Diceros bicornis minor: one gene and its partner. The protein of the gene in region 2 interacts with the protein of the main gene of each other region in a biochemical or structural test. Links are inferred from orthologs where the notes say so. Each region holds a gene or a part of one and is shown on either strand. Other genes may lie near its edges.

The links.
Region 1: the proteins of DRD2 (region 2) and NCS1 form a complex in vitro, tested with the Homo sapiens proteins (2 studies listed by BioGRID, with this or other methods). The link is inferred for Diceros bicornis minor from reciprocal best matches to the Homo sapiens genes DRD2 and NCS1.

What each region holds. Positions count from the first base shown.
Region 1 is NC_080767.1:37,657,176-37,660,919, reverse strand, and holds the start of NCS1 (neuronal calcium sensor 1), read right to left. Parts: upstream 2,920-3,744; 5' UTR 2,437-2,919; coding exon 2,373-2,436; intron 1-2,372. UniProt on the Homo sapiens protein: Neuronal calcium sensor, regulator of G protein-coupled receptor phosphorylation in a calcium dependent manner. Directly regulates GRK1 (RHOK), but not GRK2 to GRK5. Can substitute for calmodulin. Stimulates PI4KB kinase activity.
Region 2 is NC_080746.1:22,931,031-22,934,774, reverse strand, and holds the start of DRD2 (D(2) dopamine receptor), read right to left. Parts: upstream 2,729-3,744; 5' UTR 2,702-2,728; coding exon 2,417-2,701; intron 1-2,416. UniProt on the Homo sapiens protein: Dopamine receptor whose activity is mediated by G proteins which inhibit adenylyl cyclase. Positively regulates postnatal regression of retinal hyaloid vessels via suppression of VEGFR2/KDR activity, downstream of OPN5.

The DNA of each region.
Region 1 (3,744 bases), on a different chromosome or scaffold from region 2:
CAAGCTGGAGGCTTTCTCTGCTTTTCCTGCTGGGAGACTTTCCATTCAACAAATACCTGTGGACCTCCTATGTGCCCACACAACCAAACAGACAAGGGCGTGCACTGAGGGAGCCGGCATCAGCCAGGGAGACAGACAGGAGGCAAATGAACCCAGCAGCACCTCCACCAGCCCGCCCCTAATAAGGGCTCCACAGAGGAAACGTACCGGGCTAACTAGCTCCCTGATGGAAGGTCTTCCAGGTCTCCAAAGGCCTTTAAAAACAGCCCAGCCCAGCTCGGCACCACGGGGCCAATTCCCAACAAAGCCTGTGGACTCCACTTCTCCCAAAGTTGACAGATCTGCCTGGAGGGAGGGGAGTGGACACAATGACCACTCCAGGCCCCTTCCCATCCAGAAGCCACCATAACGGGCTTCTAGCAGAAACCAGAAAGGGACGCACAGAAGAAAAGCCCCTCCTGACTTCTCGGCGTGAGCTCTGAGGTCAAGGGGCATCACTTTGGACACAGACAGACCTGAGTTCAAGTCCTGGATGCTGGGCACACCGCTTGGCCCCTCTGAGCCTTAGTTTCCTCATCTGTAAATGGGGAGAGTAACAGCGCCCACTAAGCGCAGGGCCGTTGCGAGGATTCAATGTGCTAATGATGCAAAGAGCTCGGTGTGTGACATGCTTGACAAGCAGGAAACCTGCTCCATTCGGCTCACAGGTGGCTCCCCTGCTCCACCATGATGGAAACACCCCAGCGCAGCCCATGCCCACCACTCCCGCCGACGCCCATGGCGCCCTCTGCCTCCCCGAGCACAGGGGCCCGGGAAGTCCCACCTGCAGCCTGCTGGCAGACAGCTAGGGGCCACTTCTGGACGGAGCCTGAAGGAAGGCCCAGCAAATCTCACAAAACGACGGCCAGACTGGGAAGGGCCACCCAGCCACCTCGGAAACGGGGTAAGAACAGCAAGGACAGAGTCCCGGGTTCTCGCAGCCTCACCCCTTCCAGGAGCAGCTCCTGGGATATGAGCTCCTTGCTGCAGAATTCCACTGGAGAAGGGCCAGTACCTCCCAGCAGACTAGCACCCACTCAGGAAAGCCCTCTTTGTTCCAAGCACATGGGGGCGAGGGGCGCGGAGCTGAAGCGTGGGCCTGGACAGACCTGCAAACGTGCCCAGAAGACCGATGGAGTTGGGGGGGAGGGGGAGCAGAGGTTGTGCAATGCACCACGAGAAGCTGCCTCCCCAGGCTCCATCAGCGCATGAGGCTGGCAGTCAATCTGCTGCCTCCAGGGAGGGTGCAGAGGGGCTGGACCCACGCAGCTGCCCAGGTGTGGGTTCTGAATTCCAGCCCAAACCCAGGGGCACTGCCCCCTTCCAGGTCAGACACCCAGTCAGAAGACCTTCCACACCATGCCATCCTTCACCCCATCCCCCAAAAGAAAGACTGTGCGGTCAGGACCCAGTGCCATTAACCCCTGGCATGCTGGGGCATCTCCCCAGAGGCTGCAGGGAAGGGAGGAGTCTGGCATGGAAAAATTGGGGATGCAAGGGGCCTGGAGAGTTGTGAAGTTGGGCAAGTGGAGGGACACACACTGGGACGGATCTAGAGAAGTCCAAAATGGACAGATCCTCCCCCTAGGGGAGCCCCAGATAGTTAAACGACGAGATCGGCCAGATCACCCACAGGCTCTATAAACCCATTTCCCAGTTTGGCAGATAGCGACAGAAGGGCAGAGGTGAGATCAGGGCCAGAGGAGAACTCAGCCTGTAAATCCTGCAGCCAACAGGGCGCCCAGGACCCTTACCCACCACGGCTGCCACGAGCTCTCTGACAAGTCTCGCCACCCCCCACACACGATCGGGGCCAGGGAGGGGGCGACAGGCCAACCTCGCGGCAGCAGAAGCGGCATCGTGATGCATGAATCACCCACCCCGCTGCGCTCGTGCCAGTAGGCTCCGCGCAGCCGGAGCCACCTCGCCAGCGGGCACCCCCTCCCCGGACCCCTGCCCCTCGCCCCTGCACACCCGTGCCCTTCCCGACAGCTCTGCAGAGAGGGGGCCGCGGGTGGGCTGGGGCTTCCCTCCCGGCCTGGGGGTGGCCCCGCGCACGCTGACGGGCGGCACACGTCCCTGGTGTGGGGGGTGCCTGAGAACAATAGGGCCAGGTGTGGGGCTGGGGGCGCGGCCGTGGGCTTCTGAGAGGCCCGGGGCGGGGGCGGGGCAGTGAGCGACCGAGGGAGGGTGGCGGCGTTGAGGGGGGTGGCGAGCGGGCCCGGAGCGGGGAGGAGGGGTTTGGGGGGGTGACCGCGCGTTGGGGGAGGGGCGCGAGGGGGCGGAAGGAGCTCCGGGGAGCGCGGGGCAGGGGTCCGGGCGCGCGCACTCACAGTAGGTTTTCCTGGTCAGCTCCTCCACAACTTCGGGCTTCAACTTGCTGTTGGACTTCCCCATCCTCGTCGCCGCGGCCCCCGCCCCCCGGGCCGGACCCCGGCGGGGCGCCCAGCGGGAGCGGCTCGGCCGGCGCGGGCCGGGGCGGGCCGGGGCGGGGCGCGCGGAGGGCCGGCGGGCCGGGGCCGCGCCTTTGTCTGCGCCGTGCCCGCGCGGCCCGGGCGCGGGGCTCCGGCGCGCTGCGCTGCACGGCTGGCGGCGCCTCGGCCGCCCTGGGCGCGGCGCGGGGCCCGGGGCGCGGGGCAGCCGCTGGGCAGGCCCGGGCCGTCCGGCCGCCGCCCTCTCCGGGCGCCGCGGCGCGGAGCTGCGCTGGGCTGGGCGCCGACGGGCCGCCGTGTGGCCGCGGTCGTCCCTGGTTACTGGGCTCGGCGGCACATGCTCGCTGCTGCGCTCCCTCGCGCCGCCGCCCCTGCGCTCCCCGCCTCCCGCTCCCCCCGCACCGGCGCGCCAGGGGTGGACCCGGAGCCGCCACTCAGCGCCCGGCGCCACCTCCCGCCCCGCACCCGCGCGGCCGGGCCTGCGCCCGCGGAACGGCGGCCCCGCGAGCCGGGAGCCGGGCGCAGAGGGGCTCCCCCGGGCGCAGAGGGGCTCCCCCGGCCTCGCCGCGTCCGGGGCGGGAGGGGAGGGGGGAGGTCACCCCGCCACCCGCCCTGGAGTCGATCCCCGGCGCCCCAGCACCCCCACGGCGGGGGCGGGCCCTGGAGATCTGACGTGAACGAGGCCAAGTCTCTGCCCGGCGAAATTCATTCATTCGACACGGATTTGTCGGGCGCTGGGGACGCGCCGCTGCACAGGACAGGCGGGGCCCCAGCCCTCACGGGGCGGGGGCGGGGGGCACTGTTCCGCACGGTGTCACATGTTTGGTGGGGGTCACCTACCGCCGCCCGGGGGAAAGTGACCTCCAAGCCCAGGGAGAGGAAGGGATGGGGGTGGGAACGTGTTCAAGGCCCAGAAAACCCGGAGGAGGCAAGGAGGCCTGAACCCGGAGGGACGGCTCCTTTCCTTGCACAGGGCTCCAGGCGCAGGGCCTCTGTGATCCGAGGCCAGAGAGAAGGGCCAGGGCCAGGGGGACAGGAGCTGGGCCTCTGGGATTTAAGCAGGGAGGTGACAGGGGACCGTCTGCCTTCTCTGCCTCTCTGCCCCCGTGGAGGGGCGCTCCGGGCAGGAGTTGAGGCCGAGGCCAGTGGTCAGGGCTCCACCTGGATGGACAGAGGCAAGTGGATTGGGGTGGGGGGTCCGCATGGCCTTCCCTGGCCCCCCATCTGCATGGGGGGACCTTTCCCATCCCCTTCCCAGTTTTCTCTGTTTTCT
Region 2 (3,744 bases):
GTGCTGACATGGCAGGATATCAGAAGCATTCAACATTGCTGGAAATGGAACATGATGGAAAATTCTGGACAAGAGCATCTCTTGGAGAGGCTACAGTATGTGGTTGTGAGGATACTTTGACAGGATGCTGGGATAGGGTGAGACTCCACTTGGAGCATTCTCTAGGGACAATACATAGCTGAGACGATGTCCTATAAGCAGGGCCTACTGTCCGTTTGTTTTGATGGGAGACTTCGAGCACTGCCCTCGGAGATGCTGTTCTCCACTCTGCCCCTTGAAACACTGAGCCTCACCTTTAAAATAATGGGGAACAGATATGTTTAAAATATCTGTTTGAAGGACTTACAGATTCCTAGGAGCCCGAATGTACAGATTTGGCCCTACCCTAGGTGTCCGGGTAGGGATGGTAGGTCTGGAAGGCCCAGAATCCATGCCCAGAGCCCTGGGCAGAGCATGCCTCACTCTGGGAAGAGGGTGCCTCTTAGCCTGGGCATGGGGAGGGTCCCCTCTATGTGGATACCTACTTCGCCTTCATCACCATTGTCATGGCTGACTTTTACACAGTGCTTACTACGCGCCTGGTGCCATTCTAAGCCCTTTTCATATACTAACTCACGTGATTCTCAAACAGTGCTACTAGGTAGATGCTATTATTATCTCTATCATACAGGTATGGAAAGTGAGGCACAGACAGGTTGTTTGCTCTGCCAACCACCCATCATTTTACCCTGATGGTCTGAGGCCTGGGACCCTCCTTTGAAGGGGAGCAGGAAGGGAAGAGTCCTAAGAACTAAGAGGGGGCCGCTCAGGGCGAGGCCCTCAGACAGGACGTGGCTGCACAGAGTCCACAGTCCTCATAAACATGCAAGACGTGGAGGAATTGGACCCCTGGACTGTGGCACTTGTATGTCTTTATGTTATTTTGTATCTATTGTTTGTTTCCTTTTGGTTCTTCCTTAACATTCAATCATGTCACTTGGAAAGTTCCAGCCTGTTTGGTCCGTGTGAAAGGAAATCAAGGGAGTGACTGCCCAGAGCTCCCTGGGGCCATCTTGGTCAAGACAACAGGAAGCACAGGGAGCCCCTTGGGGTATGGAGACAGGGAGAGGTGCCTGCTGACCAGCCTCCCCTCCCCCATCGGCTTCTTCTCCTAGATGTCTCCTTTACTCAAACCTACAAAGGTTTCACGTTTTCTTTTAAGAGTGGAAGCCCTCCCCCACAGGCAGGGACTTGCCTTGTTGGCACAGGTGAATTCCTCTCTTGCCTAGGGCAGGAAGATAATTGCTCAGGCGCTTTGGCTCTTTCCTGAATGTTTGGTCAGCTTCCCATGCACCCAGACTCCACCCTAGAATCCTGGGCAAAGAAAGGGGCAGGATCCAGCCTGTGCCCACCCAAATCCCCCAGACCCTCCCACATCTGCCTGCCTGCTCTGAAAAGTGTCCTCCTGAAGATGGGGCCACTCTCAGGGACTTCTCTGTCAGCGGTTTCTCCCTCTGTGGTGTGATCTGGGTGAAGACAAGCAACTTTGCAAAACTTCAGTTTCCTCTTTTGTGAAGTGAGAATAGTATTGACTCCCAGGATGAGCATGAATATTTGCTGAGTCTGTGTCTGCAGAATGCCTGGCACAGTGCCTGGACCATGGAGTAGGGGTTGGGGGTGTGCCTGGACCATAGTTGGGGGGGGGGCAGTGCCTGGACCGTAGCTGGGGCTGCCCATTCACTACTCCAAGGCACAGAGCCGGGCTCTGTCCTGAGCTGAGCAATGGTTAACTATATGGTCCTTCCTGAGGACAGGGAGTGCAGCACTGTTCACAGTGGTCTCTACCTGGAGGTCCCAGAAACAGGCACTGGAATAAACTGAGGGAGAGAGAAGGGAGAAGGAGAGCACAGAGCAGCATCCCCCATATTTGTAGTGGGGAGAGAGGAATGAAGACTTTAGGCCAGGAAGCATGAACATCTCCCTTCCTTGGGGATCCTCATCAATTATTGCTATTTTCAACATGACCTAATGAACTGACTCTGGGGTCAGACAGAGTTCCAGCTTGGACCGTCCAGCTGTGTGATGCTGGGGAAGTCACCTAACTTCTCTGACCCTCTGGCTCACCATCTGTAAAATGACGATAATAATACCAGCCTCTCAGGGCTGCTGTGAGGACTATATGGGGAAATGCTGACTATGAAGGAGTCAACATGAGGCCCAGCACTTAGGAAGCACTCTACAACTGGTAGTTAGGATTGTTAAGCAGACAATCTACCCATTTTATAAGCAGAAAAACTGAGCCCGGAGTGGAGGAAGAGGCCACCTGAGAAAGCACCAGGCAACTTGTTGGTAGAAACCAGCGAGGAGCTGTGCCCCCAGCTCCAGTGTAGCGCCCTCCTGGAGAAGGTGCTGGAGCAAGGCAGAGGTGCAGACCTACCTCCAGGTAGACAACCCAGGGCATGACAAGCGTGGCTACGAGGAGGTCAGCCACCGCGAGGCTGACGATCAGGTAGTTGGTGGTGGTCTGCAGCGCCTTCTCGCGGGTCACAGCCATGCACACCAGCACGTTGCCGAAGACAATGACGAAGATGAGCAGCGTGAGCAGCATGGCGTAGTAGTTGTAGTGGGGCCTGTCGGCCTTTCCATCGGACCCATTGAAGGGCCGGCTCCAGTTCTGGCTCTCCAGATCGTCATCGTACCAGGACAGGTTCAGTGGATCCATTGGGGCAGTGGGGCCACTGGGTGGCCAGGCTCTGGCCAGGAAAAATGGATACAGGGAGTGAGCAGGAGGACCTCCCCAGGCATGCTGCCTCCCACGGAGGGCTATGGAGCTAAAACCAAGCACTGGAACTTAGTAAAGAGAATTCTCCAGCCTTGGGATTTTGTTTTGCATCTAACAATTTTCTTAAAACATTGGGACATGCTGCCACTATTCCCAGAGCAAATTCTTGCAGATGGTAAAACAAATGAGCAAGGATAATTTTTTTTTAAGTATAATAAAATAAATGGTCTTGAAAAGAGCTGATCATTCATTCATCCATTTATTCAACAAACACTTATTAAGCACATCCCAAATACCACACACTTAAGACAACTTAGCAAGGAGTTCCAGATTCTACTGGTAGGAATAGGAATATGCATTCATTCATTCTTGATTCTATAAATATGTAGTGAGCATTGTTCTACGTATTGTGAGAAACACAGGCAGGAACAAAATATACGTGGTTTTCCAGCTCACATTTTAAAAGAAACCATAGCCAATTGATCAAGCAATTAAATCCATGAGTGGTAGGCACTAGGAAATGGAATGGCAGGGAGAGACACATAACCTAGTTTAGGGAATTGAAGAAGGCTTTCCAGAGGAAGTGACGTTCAACAGACACCTGAAGGATGTGTAGGAATTAGCCAGGTAAAGAGTTGGGAGCCAGGGGAAGGGTCTAGACATAGGAAGTAGCATACGAAAAAGACAGAGCTAGAGAGTGGGACCATGGTGGAGGGCTAGAAAGAGATTCAGGATAGCTGGAGTATAGAGGGACTTGGCATGAGCTGAACTGGGGAGGTTGCAACAGGCGAGATCATAGAGGGCCTTATAAGCCATGCTAGGAATTTAGACTTGACCCTAAGGGCAGCAGGAACCACATGATCAGATTTGCCTTTCAGAGAGATTTTGACTGCTGTGTAGAGAATGGAAGAGTGGGGCCAAGCAGGGTGGCAGGACACCAGCTGGGAGGCTGTTGCAGGAACCCAAGTGAGGGACGATGAGGT